Pelodiscus sinensis: one gene and its partner. The protein of the gene in region 1 binds, or shares a complex with, the protein of each later gene. Links are inferred from orthologs where the notes say so. Each region holds a gene or a part of one and is shown on either strand. Other genes may lie near its edges. The genes, in order: BMP10 and ACVRL1.

The links.
Region 2: the proteins of BMP10 (region 1) and ACVRL1 are in contact, whole or in part, in a crystal structure (PDB 6SF1), measured with the Homo sapiens proteins. The link is inferred for Pelodiscus sinensis from reciprocal best matches to the Homo sapiens genes BMP10 and ACVRL1. Residues at the interface, in NP_055297.1 of Homo sapiens: Tyr322, Asn357, Tyr358, Pro359, Ala361, Glu362, His363, Pro366, Thr367, Lys368, Ile371, Leu375, Leu378, Lys379, Ser381, Lys386; in NP_000011.2 of Homo sapiens: His40, Val54, Val56, Arg57, Glu58, Glu59, His66, Gly70, Asn71, Leu72, His73, Glu75, Leu76, Phe84, Val85, His87.

What each region holds. Positions count from the first base shown.
Region 1 is NC_134738.1:904,913-915,994, forward strand, and holds the start of BMP10 (bone morphogenetic protein 10), read right to left. Parts: upstream 5,540-11,082; 5' UTR 5,260-5,539; coding exon 4,926-5,259; intron 523-4,925; coding exon 1-522. UniProt on the Homo sapiens protein: Required for maintaining the proliferative activity of embryonic cardiomyocytes by preventing premature activation of the negative cell cycle regulator CDKN1C/p57KIP and maintaining the required expression levels of cardiogenic factors such as MEF2C and NKX2-5.
Region 2 is NC_134729.1:5,530,300-5,541,736, forward strand, and holds the start of ACVRL1 (activin receptor type-1-like), read right to left. Parts: upstream 4,882-11,437; 5' UTR 4,244-4,881; intron 1-4,243. UniProt on the Homo sapiens protein: Type I receptor for TGF-beta family ligands BMP9/GDF2 and BMP10 and important regulator of normal blood vessel development. On ligand binding, forms a receptor complex consisting of two type II and two type I transmembrane serine/threonine kinases.

The DNA of each region.
Region 1 (11,082 bases):
TCTCCAAATCCAGCAGCTGCTCATGGTCTATCATTTCGTCCAGTTCTTGCTTCTCCTCTTTTTTGTCATTGCTCAGGTCATCTGAGAACACAATCAACAGAGGCACATGTTTGGCCTCGGGACTGATGTCAATATCAAGTTTCCCCTCTCTGTTTGGCTCCTCCCCTTCTTCACTCTCTATCTGCACCTCTAGCCTGTGGGTGGTCGACTCTGATCTGTGCCACCGCCTCATGGCATCTGTGATATCAAAGGTCTCCCATTCACTGTTGGTGCCGTAGATCTGCCTGGATGCAAGTGCCACCATTTTTCTCTCCTCTCCTTCTCTCCTTGCATGGTTGTTCTCCAGGATTTCAAAAATGGTGACTTTCCTATCCATCCCATCATAGAGTATTCTGTCCCGCTCCACTAGTGTGTAGAGTCTCAGCTCTGCCGTGGTGATTTCTTCATGGTGAGGGATGGAGACATTGAAGAGAAGAGGGTATTTCCGGATTGCTGTAACACTAATAGGGTGGGTAGTCAGATCTGGAAATGACAAAGATCAGTATAAATAAACACTTAAGAACTGCAAATATTTCCAACAGAAATGTGCATGCATGGACCCTAGCCTTGCATGCCTGATATTCCTTGCTTTCCAGGAACAGGAAAATGAGGATAAATAGGAATAATTGATTGTCAGTGAGGTAGAAGGTTTATATTGGATCTTGAAGGAAAACTAGGTCAGATTATGGTAATGGCAATGAAGGGGGATTTATAGCTCTCTTTAATGTGGTTATCAAAGTGCTTTATACAACATCCTTTCTGATCGTACACATTATGTTTATTGTGTAGAGGAACTGCTTTGCCCAGCACCGAAATGAAGCCATCTCTGGAGTGCAAATACAGCAGCTGTTTAACATGTGACTATTGACATTACAGAAAGTTTAGGGCAGGAAGGGAAGAGGAATTCTATTCCAACCGAAGGGACATAGGGGATTGGAGATGGGGCAGAGGGGGACACAAACTGTTCCTGCAGTGAAGGAAGGCTGCATTCGGATCTGTTTATCTTTTTATCTATTAAGAGGGGACCTAACTTTCTATAGAGTATCCAATAGATTCCCCTCATAAATAGTATGATCTCCTTTTCCCTCAGTTCATCCCCAGTGCACAGTCCCATACTCCTCAGGTGAATTTGTATCTTCACTGGTGAGTTGATACAACACATTAAAATCCCTAGTGCTGATCTGCTGTCTTGGATGCAGAGTGCACAGATCTCCCAGTGGCAACAAATGCTACCATAAACTTCCACCAGTGACTGAAGAGTGTGACCCTCAAGGAAAGAGACAAATTGTTTAGGGTGATGCAAAGGCTTGTAACTAGGAGGAATGGGAACTCGGGTCTTGGGCCAAGACCCAATAAAGCCATGGAAATATTCCCATTGACATCAGTGGTGTTTGGATCTGTCTTGAAAAGAGCAAAAGAAAACTACTGTACATACTTAGCTTTTGAGAGTATTAATGAATCAGATGTATAACAAACAAATGATCATCTATCTATTTATCCATCATGTTTATACATGCCCCATCTGCATTTCTTCATACATATGGGCAATTTAACAAAATGCTTTGTATTTATTGCTACATTTCATTCAATAATGACTCTGAAACCAGGTTGGGAAATAGAGACTTAGCGGACATGCTGACAGGAGCTGAGGGGATGGACTGCATGGATCCTGTACATTTTCCCATCTCAGATTTCTATGACTCTGGGATTGATACATTTATGGAAACATTTGGTTGACGAAGCTACAAATATTGGCCCTGAGCTAGCGAAGCACATCAGCACATGAATAATTGACTTTAATCGGTCTTTGGAATTTGTTGATGTTTGTAAATCCATAGGCTGTCTGTCTAGTGAATGTGTCCCACTTCACAACTGGAAGTGGCACCAGAACTCAGTGATCTACAGCCCCTCAGCCCTATCGCCCACCTCCACCCCCAGGCTGCTGGAGAACAAGTCCACTGTTATGATGATACATATGGTCTTGGGGTGGGGAAAAGTCACAGAAAATGGACATGAATCAATCATTGGAAGGGATAGAGACACACTCTTGTGGGAAACTGGGTGTCTCGCTTCCTGATTAGGGAGAAAAATAAATCAGAACTGGCAACTGCCCACAAGACAGACTGAGCAAGAAAACTCAAAGGGTCAAATACTCTTCACTATTTCCTGTACATCCTCATTGGTGTCAATGAGGACACACTGGTGTCTGAAGGAGGACAAATTAGCCCAGAAAGCTTTATTTCAGTTTTTAAGCAACGACCACATTACAATCCAAGCTGCAACAGAGCCAGACAACTCCATGAGCTAAAACCGCTAATGAACAACTGTCATCAAGTTCTACTGCTTTCAACCATGCAATTTCCATTATCATCATCTACTACCACAAGCTGATGAGTATAAACATTGCACGGTGTGATCTGTTCCATCTCTTTTATCAGTAATAAATGCAAGCACTTTAGTTTACTCATGTGCCATATAATCCAGGTTCCCTAATTGTTAATGACTTTTTAGACATACAAAGCAGAGACAATTGAAATAGACCCTCTGTGGTATACATGTGCCTATGGAGAGCATTTGCATTAGAATACAAGTATCTGAATTTATTTCTGAAGTTGTGGACTAGAAGAAAGGACAGGAACCTTCTGAGAAGGTAGTAAGTTACTCTGCATTTGACATTGCCATTGCAGACTTTGTGGTGATGAACACGCTGCTTGGAAACTGTTGTGTTTATGAAAATTAATGGATCTTTGCATTGTTCCATTTACTAAAAATGAAGGATGGATTCTGATGTCATCAATCTACTATATATTTGAGAGAGTTTGTGTGTCTGTGTTTCTCTGTCCATCTGTGAGTCTGTTTGTTCAAGAACTCCTCCTAAACAGTAAGAGCTAGGAACACCAAATTTGGTAGGCAGCTTCCTCTTATCAAAACTTAAAGCAAGGTCAGGGTTTGGTTGTGCCAAGACAATGGGATGTGCCTGGAATGTGAGTGTTTCCCACAAAACAGAAAGGGAGGGGTCTGCTAAGAGGGACAGTTATAGTGTATAATGACCACAGGGGGACAGCAAGGGGCCAGAGATGGGGAATGGGACAGTTATAATCCTATTGGGGCAGCAGTGCACGGGGTGGAGAAAAGGATAGTATCTATTATATATTTGAGAGAGTTTGTGTGTGTGTCTGTCTGTCTGTGTGTTGCCCAGCTGGGAGATATGCACCCCTCCCCCAGCAGTTTCCATGAACAGGCACTTCTCCCTGGCCCCAAGCTGCTGTGGTGACAGAGGGCTGGGGTTATCCTCTCTCCCCAGGGCAGCCTGCACACTGACCCCCCCCCCCTCCCGAGAGCAATGAATCAAATGAAGAAAAATTAGTTCATCTGATGACGTGGGTTTTACCCACAAAAGCTCATAATATTCTATATTTGTTAGTCTCTAAGGTGCCATAGGACTGCTTGTTGTTTTTAAAATTATTTCAGTTAAGGACTTGAGCAACAGTGGGCAAATCCTCTAAGTAGCAATATAAATCTGGAATGATTCTATTGTAACTAATGGAATTACTGCATATGTACACTAGTAAAACACATAGCATTCTCCACTCAGTATACTCTGCTTTCCCAATTACAGTCCATTAGTTTTCCTATTACTTTTCATCTTAAAATTGTAAGTGTCAGAATCATTATTCCATATTCCTTCAGGGCCAGATTGTGAATCCCTTCTCTACACACAAATTGCCCTGAGGTCTTCAGTATGCATAAGTCACTTTCAGTGCAGCCCTCAATGAATTAAATGCTGTCTATATGTAGAAGAAATGCAAAGTTAAAGTGGATTTGAACTGTAAAGCGGAGCCTTTTAAAACCAGAAACATGTAGCTTGATAAGAATGCATGCGTCTGAGCAAGGTATAGATTAGCCCACAAGCAGTTATAGAATCTAAAACTGAGTTGTCAAATTTAGGTTACATAGGCTCAGTCTTTGCTCTGTTATCTTGTAGTTGTGAACTTCATCAGTAAAATTGAGACTGCTACTTTGGGACATAATGATTTTCTGAAAAGCCTTTTCAACCCATATTCCATATTGGTACTCATGCATGAAGAATCAGTAATAGCATGAGAGCTTTTTATTCCCCGAATTGTGTAGAAATTTCAGGAAAATGTTGAATTGCGCAATATTCGTAACAGTCTAAACTCATAATTCTATAAAATTTTAGTTACCTTTTTTGAAAAAAGGCATGCATCCCTGTCTAATCACTACAAATTTTATTCTCTCAAAAATAAATGGTGAGGCAAAAGTTGTTATAGAGAGATGCTAGCCGCACACATTTCTATATATTCTACTGACCTTATTTTACACAATAATTGAGGAACTAAATTGGGAAAATATTTCCAGAAAGCCATTTGTTGTTTGGTTGGGAATCCATGAAGAAATTTGGCTTTCCAAATGAGAATTTGTACTATTGCATGGGTGGTGAAAGAGGCCTTTTCTCATTAATCAAATAAGGAAGATAAGTTGCCATCTCCATTTAAAAATCGGATGCGTATGAAGGTAACATATAAATGATGCATATGCTTCCTGGAACTATGACAATTTATTTATAAATAAATACACCCACAATACACAAACACAAAGGAAGACATTGCTCCTGCCCCAGAACGCTCACTGGCTCAAGGATATAAAATAAGGAGGGCGAGATTACATCAGACAAGCAATGTGAGCTGTTCATTATAGACACAGGCCATGCTAGTTCCCTAGCTCCAGTTGCATCTCTATCTAATCACTGTCAACTCCTTTTCTCCCCAATTAAGTCGTCTTGCTCCACACATTGGGAAGAAGTGCCTTGTCGGTTCTGAGCAATGCCCAGTTATTCTTCGTTCACAGAGGAGCATGGATCTTACCTTCATTTTTGAAGCTTCTAACAATATTTGCCGATGGCATTGAGGTCCTGTCAGTGGCAAACCTGTTGTACAGCTCTAACATGTACTCTGGGGGCTCCACCTTAGACTTTTCATGCAGGGGAATGTCAGAAAGGTTCAGCGTCTTCAGGAACTCATTTTTCATGTTCTGAAGCAGCGTGTTGAAATCGACACCTTCCTGCTCTGAAAGGAGTTCATCAAAGAGGGGCACATCTTCTTCCAGGGACGACTGCTCCAGGCTCATGATGGGGCTGCAAGCAGCAAGGTGCACCAGCAGAGAGAGGGTTGCCCACAACTGAATGGCAACAGTATCCATTCCTTCGCGTTAGCGTCCAGCCGCACTCACCAAGGTTTAGCTCTTGTGTGCGCTAAGTGGCTATTTTATCCCCTGGTTTGTGCGCAGCTTGTGTCACAGACTTGACAAGTTTGGAAGCCCTTGCCTGAAACTTGTGATCAGTCCTCACTCTCTCTCCCGCCTCCCCACACACCCTCCAAAACCAGGTCTCAGTAATTGGATATAACACACGCTCGCCTATGGTAGCCTTGCCTCTCTTATCTCTTGCAGTGTAAGCTGTCCACCAGATTTTCTGTTGCTATCTCACAAACCCCCTTTCCCTTAATGAGCATTTTGTAAACATTCTGCACTTGGACATATTGAGATACGACAATTTTCTCCTTGGACAGGATCTGCCCTTTCTTTCTCCCTTGGAGCTGACTTTCTTTGGCATGTATGGCCAAGTTTTATCCATGCAACTTTGTTATGCTTTCAGGCAAACATGCAAATGACACAGAGCCTACGTCTAGGATTTTGTATTCTGTACCAACAGTAAACAAAAGCCTCCTTCAATATTAAGAGTTAGTAAACTCTCCAGCCCAAGGAAAGTCTTTACTTGGCTGAAAAGCGCTTTGAGGCAGGGCCCATCCTTTTGTTCTGTTTGTACGCACCTGCACAATGGGAGTCATGCCTGTGGCTCCTAGGCACCCTGATAATATAAATAACAAACAATCTAAACACCACGGGAGGTGCTAAATGCAGTGAAACTGGTGTGATTCTATCAAGCAGTAGGAAGCAGAGAGTTTGCGCTCCTTGCATCTGGGCTGGTGTGTCATGCAGGGCTTCCTTGTGGAAAGGGGCTTTGGGAACAGGAGAAACGCAGGCAGGGATGAGGTTGGGCATGGCCAACAGAGCTGTTCCTGGTTCTCCATTTTGCCCCTGGGCTGCCACCACCAGCTTGTCCTGTACAAATAGAAGGCAATTAGCAAATGTTTTTAGTGGTGTTTATTTTAGCTAAGTATCAGAGGGGTAGCCGTGTTAGTCTGAATCTGCAAAAGCGACGAGGAGTCCTGTGGCACCTTATAGACTAACTGAAGTGTAGGAGCATAAGCTTTCGTGGGCAAAGACCCACTTCATCAGATGCATGTAGTGGAAATTTCCAGAGGCAGGAATAAATATGCAGGCCAGGATCAGGCTGGAGATGACCAGGTGGATCCAATCAAGGAGGATGAGGCCCACTTCTAGCAGCTGATCTGGAGGTGTGAATTCCAAGAGAGCAGAAGCTGCTTTTGTAGTTAGCAAGCCATTCACAGTCTTTGTTTAATCCAGAGTTGATTGTGTCAAACTTAAAGATGAACTGTAGCTCAGCAGTTTTTCTCTTTGAAGTCTGGTCCTGAAGTTTTTTTGCTGCAGGATGGCTACTTTTAGATCTGCAATTGTGTGTCCAGAAAGATTGAAGTGTTCCCCTACAGGTTTTTGTATGTTGCCATTCCTAATATCAGATTTGTGATAATTTTGTATATTGCCATTTCTAATATCAGATTTCCTAATATCAGATATTTTAGCTAGTTATTCTCTCTAGAAACCACAGGTTCCCATTGAACACCTGCTGTTCTGGGGACGGGCTCCACAGAAATGTGTAGAAACAAACTCAGCAGGGAGCACTGAAACAATTGCAACTGGCTCCTAAAATGCCGCCTTTCTCCCACGCCTCTTATGTGTCTGGCATGGCAGGTTACATTCACTCAAGCTCTGTTCCATATGCTGCCGTCATACCATCCCCCGCCAGAGAGCTTTGCTGTAACTGGCATGAAACTAAACTTCAAGGGACCTCTAGTCTGCTGCAGAGACACCAGCATTACTTCTGGCCACATCAACGCGCCGTGGCTCAGGGGCAGGATGTTATGAGCAGATCGGGTTGAAAACCACAGCACAGTTTTCATGGAAAATGTTCAGTGTGTTTCCGGAAAAAACAAATTCTGGGCTGGGGTGTGGGGATGGTCAGATTTTTGAAATTTCCAAAAAGTTTGAGGACTGCAGACAAATGAGTAAAACCAAAGCAACCATGTAAGTTGAAAATTGTGACCATATCTGTCTCTGTTCTGGCCCAGTGTTCACAGGGAACTTCCCTGTGACAGGAAAATTAGAACGCATGCCTTTTGAGCCAAACACCCAGCCTTCCACCCTTTGATGCAAAGGAGAATCTCTTTGTTAGTAGCAGAAGGTGTCTGACTTCATTGTGAGGTATATCTGCAAGAACTAAAGAGCGCATGGTTTGACTGAAATAGCAAAGCTCTGTTGGGGCACGTCTACACAGCAGGGCAAAAGTCAAATTAAGATACGTAACTTCAGCTATGTCAATTGTGTAGCTGAAACCAAAATAGCTTAATTCGGCTTTACGCACTGTCTATAAAGCAGGAAGTCGAAGGAAGAGCACTCTTCCTTCCGCTTCCCTTACTCCTCGTGAAATGAGAGTTACAGGAGTTGTAGTAAGAAGCCCTCCAGCTTGACATTATTTCGAAATAACGGCTTGCTGTATAGACACTCATTTTCTTATTTCGAAATAACATCAGTTATTCAGAAATAATGCTTCTGTGTAGACATGCCTTGGACAATTCCACTCCTCAGTTAGGACTGAGCACATCCTGTCCATTTGGTACATCTATTTATTGTGACTGTCCAGATGCTGTTTCTTCTCAAATAGGTCAACTGCCATCTTGGCACAAGGGAAACAACTCTAGCTCACTTCACGATGCAATTTTGAACAAGGATAATTGTATTTATTCAGATTATATTCACAGAGAGCACTGTTCATTAAGAGCACCGAGCCATATATTTGTGTGTCCCTTTGCTATTTTGCTTCATTCAGAAACTCTCCTCTCAAACAGCTTGCCTTTTTACCACGGCAGTTTAACACAGTAAGGGCTTGTCTACACTACAGAGAAGACTGTGGCTGCCTCAGTCGATCTTCCGGGGTTTGAATTAGCGAGTGTAGTGAAGATCTGCTAATTCGAACTGAGAGGGCACTCCCATCGGTGCCGGTAGTCCTGCTCCTACGAGGAGTAAGGGAAGTCGAAGGGAGCATGTGCTGCTGTTGACCTCCTGCGTGTGAATGGTGCCAAAATGCAATTTAAGATATTTTGATTCCTGCTACATAATTAACATAGCTGGAGTTGCATATCTGAAGTTGACTTTCTCCTTTAATGTAGACCAGGCCTAAATGACCAACCTAAGGCTGTGTCTAGACTACATGGCTCCATCGATGGAGCCATGTAGATTAGGGTTGTAGGCAAAGGCAAATGAAGCCTTGATTTAAATGATCGCGGCTTCATTTAAATTTACATGGCTGCCGCGCTGAGCCGACAAACAGCTAATCAGCTGTTTGTCCGCTCAGTGCGCTAGTCTGGACGCTGCCCTGCCGACATCAAAGCCCTTTGTCGGCAGCCCCGTTATTCCTCGTGGGATGAGGTTTACCGGGGCTGCCGACAAAGGGCTTTGATGTCGGCAGGGGAGCGTCCAGACTAGCGCGCTGAGCGGACAAACAGCTGATCAGCTGTTTGTCGTCTCAGCGTGGCAGCCATGTAAATTTAAATGAAGCCACGATTATTTAAATCGCGGCTTCATTTGCCTTTGCCAAAAAAACAAATCTACATGGCTCCGTCAACGGAGCCATGTAGTCTAGACATACCCTAATTGACATCCAATGCTCTGGTCATCTGAAGGAATGGGACATGACCACAAAAGCTCATGATACCATCTACATATTTTGTTAGTCTTTAAAGTGCTACCAGACTATTTGTTGTTTTTTAAGTTTTTCCTCATTTTTATTGTTACACATAGGTCCACTCAGAAGCAGCTGATCCTGAACCTTGAAGGAGCATTCAGAGCAGGATCTGAATTGCATGGCTATCTATGAGTCTATGAGCTTGTGGTTTTGTGACGCTGAACAGCCAAAAACTTTGTGAGATTTTGGATCTGAATCCCACTGATTGCTATTTATTCAAAAAAGTGGACTCGCAACCTTCCTTTTTTGAATGATTCATCTCTTGGCCATGCAGCACTGGGGAGGTGACCTTACATCCATAATGAAACGGAGATTAAGAAAGTTACAAATTAGTGCTGTCGTGCCCCTCCCAAACTTAATGAATATTGGCTTATGAATATGAATATGCATATTATGAAGATGCTTTAGACATATATATATGCCTCATATAATCTATCAGTTTTAATAGACAGTCTGCTGAATGTTTATATACTATTTTTGTGCATTTATCATAAGAACATGAGAATGGCTGTACTGGGTCAGACCAAAGGTCCATCTAGCCCAGTAGCCTGTCTGCCGACAGTGGCCAGCACCAGGTGCCCCAGAGAGGGTGGACCGAAGACAATGATCAAGCGATTTGTCTCCTGCCATCCCTCTCCAGCCTCTGACAGACAGAGACCAGGGACACGTTTCTATCATTCTTGCATGTGAAGTTGGAGAACAGGCCCCCTGGAGGCAGATGGGAGAGCCTTGGCAGGGAGAGAACAGCCCCTGGTAGGCTAGGGCAGACTGGGGGGAAGGAACAACCCTCACTATTGCCCCCCTCTGTCTACTGCATCCTGCACACCCTCCCCTCCACATCACCAAAGCCCTACCTTCAAGGGCCTGGGCGACACTGGGTAAGTCTGCTAGTTTGGCTATAAAATCACAAAGCTTTACAATGACTGGCACATTCTGCAGCCAGCAGACACCGTTGCCTAAGTAAAGGCTGGAGCACATGTGGGAATCTGACACATGTCTCTGAAAGCTACAAATGTGCCAGTACCTTGTTACAAGCAGAATTACAGCTCAACCATTGTAAATTTCTTCGTGTTTCCTTTCTTGTTTGAGAACTTGTTGAACACCTCATGTAAGCAACACAGCCTACTGCTGAATGTCTTAGCTCACATGGCTTAGCCTCTGTACAGCTGTTGGTGGGTTGCCAGATGTACAGTACCACTAGATGACATCTGGTGTAAAAGCAGTTTCCTGTTTCCTTTGCTTTGGAGGATGAAGAATTTAAACCATGCAGCCTTCTTGCCGAATTAAAAGGCTGAATTGTAGACCTAGAAATGTTAGTTAATTTTTCCTCTAAAATTCATTTACAAGAATGACATGGTTTTTTTCCTTTGAACAAAACGCAGAAACCTATGCTAGCTGGAGAGGCAATATTCCTGATCCTTCCTATTGTTATTAGAACAGAAGAACAGCCATATAGGGCCAGACCAAAGGTCCATCAAGCCCAGTAACCTGTCCAGTTTAAAAGAAAAACAAAAAACCAAACCCAACCAAACCTCAGTGATGTGGCCCCCGGCTGAGGAGAAAGACGCTCCCTACGTTCCCCGCACATACCAGAGCCTAGGGGGAGCAGCCCAGTAGACTTTGTGTGCTCCAGCCCTGCAGGGAGACAGCAGAGGACTGGAGCCACAGCGAGGTCTCCCCAATGCTGGGGGGGGGGAGCCCTGAGTTGCAGCAGCCAGATCCAGACAAACCGGGGGCCTCATTCAGCCCCCAGGCCTTAAGTTCCCCATCCCTAGAATAAACAGAAAAAGTGATCCACCCACTGTCACCCATTCTCTGCTTCTGGCAAACAGAGGCTAGAGACACCATTCCTGTCCATTCCGGCTAATGGCCATTGATGGATCTGTCCTTCATTAATTTATCTAGCTTTTTTTTTAACCCTGTTATAGCCTTGGACTTCACAACCTCTGGCAAGGAGTTCCATGGGTTGACGATGTGTTGTGTGAAGAATTTTATTAACTTTATTGCATAAACAGTGTGCTTGTTGGAACAATAAGTGATGTGGCAGGTAGGCAGTTTTGCAGGAAAGAACTCTTTACTGG
Region 2 (11,437 bases), on another chromosome or scaffold:
CATATATTTATTTATATATATTAAAATCCCGGGGCTATGAAATCGCCCAAAATGGACGGTGAATTTGGCAGGACCTATCACAGATGCATCTCTTAAGAATGTGGGTGGAGACTGCAAAGTTAGAAAGCTGGAAGAGTGCTCCGAGCTGCCATTCCCCACCGGCCACTGTGGCTCAGAGCACACAAGGAAGCAGGGCTCTGAATGCAGGCAGATGACTTGCTGTCTCTCCTTGGCCCTCTTGGCCCCACTCCCGTCTCCCACAAGCAATGGGCCGGCCCAGGATCTCACTGTCACTGTAAGGCCAGCTCCGCTCTTCGCGCAGCACAGAGCTGGTTTTATAAATCTGGGGTGTGCTTAGTACTGGGGAAAGGCGTCAGATAGAAACCCCCGAGGTCCTCTCCGTACTGGACCAGCCTGTAGGCATCCTGCCTGCCTGCCAAAACCTGGTTCCAAATCCAAGTGCCCCCTTGGAGAATTTTCCTTTAATGGAAACAGTTGCCTCTCCAGTTCTATCAGAAGCCCTAATGGTGCCATGGGAGGACCATCTGAGCATGTGACAGCTCAGGCTTTGTGGCTCATTCAGGCCTTGGTCTATCTGCCTTCCATGATGGTGGTTTCTGGACTTGTGTCTGGAAGGAACTTGACTGTGTCTCACCAAACTCCTGATGCCAAGAGCCTCCAGCACGTTCTGTTCCCATCCAGCGGGCCTGGATTCTAACCAGCCCCTGGGCTTGAGACACGCGCGCCCGGTGCAAAGCAGGTCTCCGAATGGCAGAAAGGCAGCGCCTTGCATTGTGTAACCACCCAGCGCGGCCAGGAATTGTCCCCAGAGGACATGACCGTCCTGTGCTGGGTCTCAGAGTTGGGCTCCAGCATGGGCCTGGAGAACTACACTGCCATTGGACAACCCTGAAGCCTGAGTCTGCAGACCTGGCTAACCCCGGCTGTGCGGCATGCCCTCGATCGCAGCGTAGATGAGCAAGACAGATGTCTGGAAGTCTCCGTTTTTGGGATCCTGATCTTGGGCCTGATTTTCAGAGGTGCTGAGTGTGGCAGTGTGTCAGGGACCCCCCTAATCCTGCACCCCATCTACAGCATGATGAGACTCCACCAGCCAGTAGAATAGAGAGGGTTTATTGCTTCTCCAGGATACAGCACAGAATAGACGTGACATGGACATAAGGAGTTGGGGGCTGGCAGTCCTAGACCCCTTGGGGCAAGGGGACATAGGCCCCTCCACTCCCAGCCCTCTGCTTAGTCTCTTCTCTCCATGTTTTCCCAGTCAAATTAGCTCTTCCCCAAAACCACACCCTTCCTTTGTTCAAACTCCTTCCCTCTTCAGTAAGAGCTGGTTGGGCCATGGTCTACACATCAGGGCCCTCAAGGCAAACCCACGCTGGGCAGTGCTTACAGACAGAGGCCAGTAAGGGTCATCCACAGCCCAAGCATAGCACCCAGCTTACCGCAGGGACACCCCTGATCCTACCTGCCCCAGGGCCGCCAGCTTTCTGCTGTTTCATCCCATCCAGGCCTGACTTGAACCCACACCCCTGTCCTCCTCAGGAGAGCACCCTAGGCCACACAGGAGTCTGCCCCACTACCTTATGGCACTCACCTGGGAAGGATAGGGTTGTGGGTTCAAGTCCTGCCTCCCCCAGGTCAGGACCATACTACATTACACAGAGCCCCCTAACTCCAACTGAAGTCTGGGAGCTTTGGGTGCTCAGCACCTCTGAGAATTGGACCCCAGAGGGTTTGGCGATTGAGACCTAACTCTTTCTCCTCTTCCAACACCCTTCCTCACCTGAGCTACTAGCTCCCTTTGCACCATGTGGGCCACACTGGAGAACAGTTTAATGAACTGATGCGAAACCAAAGCAGGAACAAGACTCCTCAACAAAGCAATCCCCGTCCCCCCCAGTCAAATGAGATGCACGGTTTGTGCAGTCCCAGGCGCACCAGGGCGAGATCTAGGGTTAGCGCCCAGCAAACCCTGAGCAGAAAAGCCTCTTTTGTTTATCGCATGACCTGGTTCCTTATTTTTCTTCCCTGAGAATCAGTAGCTCCCAGCGCACATGAGCGCATGGCCCGCAACCCGTGTCAGCCCTGTGCCAGGAGGCAGCAGATGTAAGCAGTTTCCTGGACACAGCTGCTTTCGGCTGGTGTTGGAGGTGCCGAGGTTCCCCCTGAGGTCAGAGGCAGCCGGGGGAGTGCTCAGCCCTCGACAAACCAGGCTAGATTTGTTGCTAGATCATGGGTTGCTAGATCAAAAGCCCACTGAACTCAGTGGGAGTTTTTCTGTTTAGTTCAATGGGCTTCGAACCTAAATCGGAGACCTGCAGAGATTCCCCTCCTCCCTCCGGCCCATCAGTACAGCGCTGGCCGGGGGCACTGGGCAGTGACATCTACCACTGACGCTTTCGGGAGCTGGTCACTGGTGTGCTCCAAGGCACATGCTGTATCCCTAGGGCTGCAGACAATGCAGAGTTGGAGCCAGAGATCCGATTCACCTGGCTCCGAGGTCTAGTTCAGGCCCATTTCGGAGCTGAACGGAGCCCTAGAGGCTGCCCCGGCATTTGTTCCAGAAACATTGGCATGCCTGGTGCAACGTGCCCAGAGCCAGCAGATGCCTTGAGCAGCCGTGTTGCACAGCACGGGCTCTGTGCTACCCTGTGCTCCAGGCAGTTGCTACACTAGAAATCAGAGAAACAGGTTTTGTTATTTAAAAAAAAAAAAAGAAAATTAGCCCAGACGCCCCCTCCCCACCCACATGTTTATTTTCTCTTAAATTCTCTGTGGGAGAGAAACAGGAGGACCAGGCTGATTTTTGGTTTGTGCCGAGAACGGGAAAGGGATTTTTTTCGAGCCTGGAAGCTTTTTAGAAACAACAAACGCTGCAAAGCTCTCTGACCCCCTCCTGGGATGCGTGCCCCCTTCCAGCCCCGAATATCCTATCCAGCTACAGGACAGCAACAGCCCCTTCCTTGCACACCCCAGTGTTCCATTTGCTTTCTCCACATGGCGGGACATTACGCTAAGGCCGAGCTACCTGACTTTCTTTCCTGAGCAGTTTAGGAATTCTGTGCAGGGGAGGCGTTCTATCCTAGGCTGAATTTCATTTGCTACCATGTTGCCCGTTCCCTCAACTTGATTAGGTCCCTCTGGAGCTCCACACGGTCTTGCCTAACCTAAATCATTTTGTGTTCTCTGCAAATTGTGCACTCTGCCTGGTTTCCTTCGTTCCCAGATCAGTAATTAATATAATTAAATAACATCAGCTCCAAAATAGCCCCTGCTGGTAACTTGCTTTGGTGACCATCTCTTTGTAATCTTTGTTTTTCCATCTCTTACCCAATTTCTGACCCAAGATAGCCCTTTGCCTCTGATATCTGGGCTACTGAGCTGCCTCAGTAACCTCTTATGAGGAACTTTGTAAAAGGCCGTTTGGAAAGTCTAAATGAATCGTGTCAATTGGTTCTCCTTTGTCTGCTCTTTTATAGAAAACGGTCAGGAATTTGAATAGCTTGGTGAACAGAGTTTTCCTTTTCAGAAGCCGGGGTGCTTCGACTCTGTCATATCAATCATTTCCCAGTTCTTTGTAATTCCATCATCTCAACTAATTTACCAGAATTGAGTCTGCACTTTGCTACATTTCTCCTAACGCCTTTTGGAAATAGCTGCAAAACATTTGCTACTCTCCAATCCTACCGTCTGGCAGCAAGATTTTATTGCACGACTTGTCCCGCGCTAGATCCATTGCACAGCCTATCATGGTCGTTTACATAGTGTGTCATCTTCTGAAAAGGGACTCAGGGCCCGTTTCTGACTTCAGTTACCATGGTGTCAATCCAGAGCTATCCCACTGATGGCAACTGAGACAAGGCCTGATTCTAAGCGCAGCAGTGCAAGTCCTGCAGGCTTCAATGTGGTTACTCTGATTTATCTTCAAGCCACAGAGCATATCTCAGAAGCAAGCAGTGCCTGAAAGTGGATCTGAGTCTAAAGCGGAGAGTCTCTCCTCCATCGTGGAGAAAGGGGGACCCAAAGAACAGTCTGATGCAGGAAGCCAACTGGGGACAAAACAAAGGGGGTGAGGCCGGGGCTACAATATGGGGCAGCTGCTGTGAGCGAGCAGCGCTCTCCCGAGAGCTGAGGAGCGGCCCATTTAGTTGCACGCGTTCCGCTTTTGGTAGCAACCTGAGAATAGCCCGACACCCCCAGAGAGCAGTTCATTCCAACTCACCTACGGCTCCTTCCCTCTCATTGACAGCACCGGCCCAGAGGAGAGGCTGCGTGTGGGCGGGCAGGCTCTGCAGCGCCTCTGGAGACGCAACGGAACCCTGCCTGACCCAGATCCGGGCGTCTTCTATCCGGCTGTCTGTCTGCTGCCAGTGGGGCGGTGCTGACCGGTTCCCGGGGCCAGAGGCAATTCTCCTTCGGTTACAGAGTCTGGATCCCAGGCTTCGACGGACACGGTTCCAGCTCCCCCCAGGCGCTGCGAGCTTCCGCCTGAAGCAGATTCACGGGTCAGCCTCCGTCCTCCCCTCTCCACGCAGCAACCTTGCCAGATTTGCAAAGGGACGCTGGCCCGGCAGAGCTTTGGCTCTGGTGGTTACTCCAGCGGCTGTCGCCTGCCCTAGTTGGCGAGAGGGGAGTGTGCCTCTAGCTTCCCTCCCCAGTCCCAGGGGCTGGCCTCTCTCTCCCTGTGGCCCAAACGCGGCGGATTGGCAAGATCTCTGAGTTCTGGATGTGGGAGAAGTCAAAAAATGTTTCTTATTACTGCCTCTTCCTGCCTGGCTTTTCTCCACCACTCCCAGCTAATAAAGCATTTCCTATTGCTGAGCCTACAGCCACAGCCTAGCTCCCTTCCTCCTGCACACACCGGCCCCTGCTCCATCACGATTGTTCTCCCTCCCTCCCAGGCCCCGGCCAAACAACTCCCCCCCCCCCCCCCCGCCAGGGTGTGTGGCTAGGCCGTGTTCCCGGCCCTGCCTCAGTCTCCCGTCAAAACCAGCTCTGGGACCTGTGTCTGAACCCAGCCTCCTCAGGGAGCAGCCAGGAGCCTAGGGTTTGGCAGCAATCGAGCTGACTTAGTTTACTTGGCCGGAGTGGGAGCAGGCGAGGGCATTCTGGGAGCGATTCTGGTAGCTCAGGTGGGGCCAGTGTAGGGGTGACTTGTGAGTGGGGCTGGGAGGCAACTGGGGAACGTGTTAGTAGCAACGTATTGGTGAGAAGCTCTGCTCCTGTCACTCTAGACTGCAGGGTTTTTTTGAAAAAAGTGGCCTTTTTTCGAAAAACCTTCCCCTGCGTCTAGACTGCCGCCGCGTAAATGGAAAGAACGCGGCAGTTTTTTCGGCTGTGAAAAGCCTCGTTTTACGAAGAATAATGCCTTTTTTCGAAAAAAGGCGCTATGTCATGCAAACTGTGCTCTTTCGAAAGAGAGCATCCAGACTGCCTCGGTGCCCTCCTTCGAGAAAGCAGCTTGCTTTTTCAAAAGTACTAGTAGTCTAGATGCTCTTTTTCGAAAGAGGCTTGCAGTCTAGACATAGCCTCTGTGCTGAGCCCAGTGCCGTAGGGCAGGGCTAGGGGGCGCTGTGCTGCAAGTGACTCAGCAGAGGGCGCTCTGCCCTCACGGTCAATGCGGACCCCAATGATCCCTAGGGGGCGCTGTGCTGCAAGTGACTCAGCAGGAGGCGCTCTGCCCTCACGGTCAATGCGGACCCCAATGATCCCTAGGGGGCGCTGTGCTGCAAGTGACTCAGCAGGAGGCGCTCTGCCCTCACGGTCAATGCGGACCCCAATGATCCCTAGGGGGCGCTGTGCTGCAAGTGACTCAGCAGGAGGCGCTCTGCCCTCACGGTCAATGCGGACCCCAATGATCCCTAGGGGGCGCTGTGCTGCAAGTGACTCAGCAGGAGGCGCTCTGCCCTCACGGTCAATGCGGACCCCAATGATCCCTAGGGGGCGCTGTGCTGCACAAAAGTGCAGGGGTGCTCTCCCAGTGCCCCAGGGCAGGGCTAGGGGGCGTTGCGCTGCAGAAGTGCAGGTGCTCTGCCCGTATGAGAATGCTGCCCCCAGACGCCATTAGGGCTGGGCGTGCTGTCGTTCACAGGGGATGCTGAAGCCTAGTCCCAAAGACTCCAGGGCCCCTTTTGCAAGAGTCACATGTTAACCCTGGTGTTCAGATTCCCACGGGGGGAGGGGGGAGAGCTACTTCCGGCCTAACCACAAATGTCTGTGAAGTTGCTCTGTAGCACCAGGCTTGTGTGGGTGGCTGGCACAGCTGGCAGGGGCTCGAGGGGGACCGGAAACACCACTTCCCCTTTAGCCTTTTTAAATTCATTTTTCTGGGTCATTCTCAGTCAGCTGCTTCTCACTCTTCCTCTCTCCCATTCAGGGATCTCTCCTCCCACCTCGGGCCTCTCCCCGACTGCTCCATCCTGGCCTCGTAGCTCATCCATTGGGGTAGGAGCAGGGGGCGGGGGGCCACGGCTGGACCGGCATCGCCTCCTGTTTTGTAATGAAGTCACTGGCTCTCCCTCCCGTGTGACCGTGGAACAGCCTGGTATAACACAGTGGAGAGAGCTGTGCTAGGTCCCAGTGTAGACACAAAACTGAGCTGCAGAGATGTGATCTCTACAGCGATATCCTGGGCCCACACCTTGATAGCGGAGGGAAAGATGCTTACTTACAGTCACGCGGTGCTGGGACCAGAACCCAGGCATCCTGCTTGCTGTAGCCACTAGGCCGCCATTGCTCCCAGAGCGAGGAACAGAACCCGAGGGTCCCGACTCCCATCTACTGCCCTTATCCCCCTGTAACTAAAACTTTGATGCATCAGTTGCCTGTTTGGCCCTGCCCGCTCGTTTTTCCAGATCCCGTTTCATTCTGGTTTTCAGAACCTGCTGTTTCGGTCACAGGCAAATGGCCACATTTGACTCTTTGTCTGTGAAAGACTCTTGCCTGTGGGTAACCATGTGGCGCTTTCAGTTCCTTGCAGGTTGGGGGGGGCCGGATTTGTGGCCCCAGAGTCCCTGGAATTTGTGCAATAAACGGGGCCGCTGCTGTGCTGAGGGGGAGAGGAAGGCTGGGCCTGCAGAAAGCTGCCTGGGCCGCCTCTGGTTCTCCAATCTCATGCACTAGCTTTGCTCCTGCTCTGAAATCCCAGCAGCCTGATGAGAGCAGTGCCTCCCAGGGCTGTTCCTCGCCCGCCCGTGTCCCAGGGCGGCAGGCGCATCGTGTCCTACCTCGCTCAACGTGGAGCGCCCGGGAAATCCGACGGAGTCACGGGGACGGCCCGCCAGCTAACGGGAAGCTCAGCGCCGGCCGGCCTGGGGGTCTCGGGCTAGAAGGCCCAAAGGGAATGGGGGGCTGGGGGGGGGGTGGGGGGAAGGTTCAGACCATGAGAAAGGACAGCACAGTCTGGGCGGCGTAAGGAAGCAATTCTTGACTCTGGTTCTAACCAGCCAATGGCTGGAGCCGCTCCCCCTCCTCCATGCGGCCCTCTGGGAGAGAGGAGTTTGGCTCTTATATAGCACCACTGGATTCTTTTTTAAAAAGGTCGAGTTCAGGGCTCGTTAACTCATTGTTTGCTGGAGGAATGTATATAAATAGAGAAAGCCTCTTCAAAGGCATCAGGCCAACATGCCCACAGCCAGATAGACCATCCGGATGGGGCCAGCACGAGGGGGGCGGGGGCAGAGGGGGACAGGGAGATGTGGGGTGTTCAGGAGTCAGGCCACGCCTCTTCCTGACCCTGTTCCACCCCTGCCCTCCCACCCACATTGCACCCTCTCCCCCGAGAGATACGACACAAGAAATTACTGGGGGGCTGGTGCAGGGGGCAGCAGGGGTCGGGGGCTCCCCCTTTCACTGCGGCATAAAGCAGAGTGACCCAGCAGCCTGCTCTGCTCCACTGCCATCTCTCAGCTGGTAAATGGAGCACCCTGAGCCCTGCCACCTGAGAATGGTTGGAAATTGCATCAGGGCAGGGCCTCAGGGCCAAATTTCTGCTACACTCTGCCTCCAAACCCAGCCTCTCTTTGGAGACTCCCCCGCTGCTGGGAGAAGCCCAGGGCCTAGGATACACATTGGAGCCGTGGACAGCAGAGATGCACACACACTAGGGTGGCCATCGAGGTACCTCCAGAACAGAGGACACTTGCATAGAGTGCATAGGGGGCCCTGGACAGGGAGCTGTGGGGTGTTCAGGAGTCAGGCCGCAGGGGTGGGAGGGGGGGCAGGGCTGGGGGCTGTAAGTAGCGTTTCTAGATGATTTTGACAAAAATACCAGATACACCTGATCTCAGATGGGGGGGGGGGAGGAGCAGGGCTGGCGCGGGAGATCGAGGGGAACCGGCCGGTGGGGAGCAGGGCTGGCAGGGAGGAGGTTGGGGGGAACCGACTGGTGGGGAGCAGAGCTGGATGTGAGGAGGTCGGGGGGAGCAGGGTTGGTTGTGAGGAGGTCGGGGGGAGCAGGGCTGGTTGTGAGAAGGTCGGGGGGAGTGGGGGGAACCATCCAGTGGGAAGCAGAGCTGGCAGGGAGGAGGTCGGGGGGAGCGGGGCTGGCCAGGGGAGATCGGAGGGAACCATCCGGCGGGAAGCAGAGCTGGCAGGGAGGAGGTCGGGGGGAGCAGGGCTGGATGTGAGGAGGTCAGGGGGAGAAGGGCTGGTTGGGGGATATCGAGGGGAACTGGCCGGTAGGGAGCAGGGCTGGACGTGAGGAGGTCGGGGGGAGCGGGGCTGGCCGGGGGAGATCGGGGGGAACCGACCGGTGGGGAGCAGGGCTGGACGTGAGGAGGTCGGGGGGAGTGGGGCTTGCTGGGGTAGATCAGGGGGAACCAACCGGTGGGGAGCAGGGCTGGCAGGGAGGAGGTCGGGGGGAGCGGGGCTGGCTGGGGGAGATTGGGGGGAACCGACCGGTGGGGAGCAGGGCTGGCAGGGAGGAGGTCGGGGGGAGCAGAACTAGCTGGGTGGGGGGAAGTGGGGTGGGGAACCGTCCGGCGGGAAGCAGGGCTGGCCCGGGCACACGCAGATCCCAGGGCACTGCCCGTCCCACGCACGGTCCTGGCGGAGTGCACGGGTGAGTCTGGCCCAGGGGATTCCAGCCCACCCCGCCCCCGCCCCCGCCCCCACCCCCGCCCCCTCTCTACTGCATAGCTGTGCACTGCCTGGCTGGTAGACATGTTCATGCAGTGTGAGCGCGGCTACCAGCCAGGCAGTACACAACTACATAGTGATACTCATGAGAATAATAAAACTTATTTCACTAGAAAATACCGGACATTTATACGTTTGGTATTTTCTCTATTTGTTTCCTGGACAGAAAGCTCAAAACCGGACACCCTGGTGACCGTAGCTGTAGGGGTGAGTGCAGGCGGGGGTGCCCTTTTGGGAGGACGGGCGGGAGGCGAGGGGAGGTGGCAGCTGCCCATAGTAGGTCGCTGCTGCTCTTCTTCCTCTTCCTCTTCCTCTGACTCTCGGGGAGTGAGGGGAAACCTCACAGCCTGCTGCATCCTCTTCTGCCCCGGCCCTCCCCGGCAGCTGGGAGCGAGAGGAAGGCACACGCTGAGCATTTTCCCCTCGCTTCCTGATAGGGGAAGAGGAAGAAGACCCTGTACGTGTGGCTGCAGCCCTCCTACCCCCCTGAAAAGGTGCCGGGGGGGCAGGGCCGGGGCAGCCCTGGATGGGGGCAGGGCACGCACACACCCCAAACCCTTTCTCCTGCCTGGCTACCTGCCGCTTAACAAGGCAGCCTGCAGAGCCCCAGCCGGCTGCTTCTTGCCGGCATGCTACACCAGGGCTCACCGGCTTCCGTTCACCTCTGGTCTTGAGAAGAATAGAGGACATAAAGGCACCCTGCTTTGCATGCATACAGGACGGAGGCCAGAGTCGCACGTGCTAGTCAGCCCGATAAATCCCCTTTCTTCAGTGCAGCCAGAATCCAAGTGTCCCCCTGATGCTCCTGTTCTTGCTGGTGCTCCCTTCCCCTGCCCGCTGTCAGAACCAGGCGAGCTGCACGTGCGGAGCAGCTATCCGCCTGCTCCATGTGCCGCCCGCCCCCAGCCCATATGTGTGCGGAACCAGCAAGCTGGCAAAGGAAGGAAACCACACAGGGAGGAATCTGAGAATGAGCCAAGGGAGGAAGGGGAGCAGTGTGAGCTGCTCTCCCTATGGCTGTAGGCCTGTCCCTCCAAAACGCCCCACCAAAGGTCAGTCGGAGCCTCTTGACACCCCTGTTCTCACCACTCCTAGGCAGCCACCTCTGGGGAGGAACACAGCAGCTGTGTCGCATCCAATAGCAGCAAGACACAAAACAAGCATCCAAATCCCCAAAGGGCTATTTTAGCCTGGCAGGGAGACAGAGGGAGCCTAAGGATTTAGAGTCTCAAGGCCTGAGGGCAGAGGCAGCCTGCCTGGCACCCAGCAAAACGAGACCTAACCCCCCAAATCAAAGGTTATTCTACATCCAGACTCAGAGGGCTCTGAGCACGGGGCCTTTTAACCCTCCCCCGACCGTGGCTGGTAGCGGGTGGAACAGCCTTGCTAGATACACCCCCGTGTCAATGGGAAGCTGCTCCCTGGGTTCTGCCTGGCCATCTCTGGGCCACCTAGAACAATAACCAGTCCTGCTTTGAGGGATTCAAGATCCAGCTGCAGGAACCTCTGCCGGGCGCTGGGCACGGAGCTGTGGTTTGCTCAGGGCCTGCTGCTCGCCTGCTCTCCCCTCTCCAGGTCTGAGACCCCAGGGTCCCTCCGGTCCATGTTTCTTTGACCCTTTTACAAGGCAGTGGCCCGGCTTGCTTAGGCATCTCTAGATGACAGACAGTCTGTTACCGCCGCATGCCGAAAGCGCTGCCCGCCCAGCGATAGCTCCTCCCCAGGCTCCCAGAGCTCCTGCTGCAGGACTGGCAGGGTGCGTGGAGAGCTGTCGAGAGGCTGTATTTTATCTGCTGCTGGGGGATGGGATTGGGGCAGCTCCAACTGGATGCCAATTGAGCGTGTTACCTAATGCCGGAGAGCAGGCCCTGGTCCTTGACTGCAAAATCAATGGTTGCAGGAGGAGACTGTAAGTTTAATGGTTCCAGCAGGGAACTGGCAGCCAGGGTTCCTGGGTTCTATTCCTGGTCCTGCTGGGAAGCCGCTGGTGGGGTCTAAGGGTTACAGCAGGTGACTGGCCTCAGCTCCTGTGTCTCCTGATCTGCAAATAGGACCAGACTTGCCTCTAGGGGGCATTGGAGCAGGGGTGCCTGCAGGGAAACCCCTGGTTCCTTCCAGCTTGTCTGTGTCAGATCCTTAGAGGCTCTGCCAAGGCAGCTCCAGCATTTGTGATCTAGCCTCAGGCCATAGCTCAGTGGGATTAAGCCGGCTAAATCCAGACTGGGGAGGGGCAGGAATTTATCCCACTGGCCACGCCAGAAATCCGACCTGCCTGGAT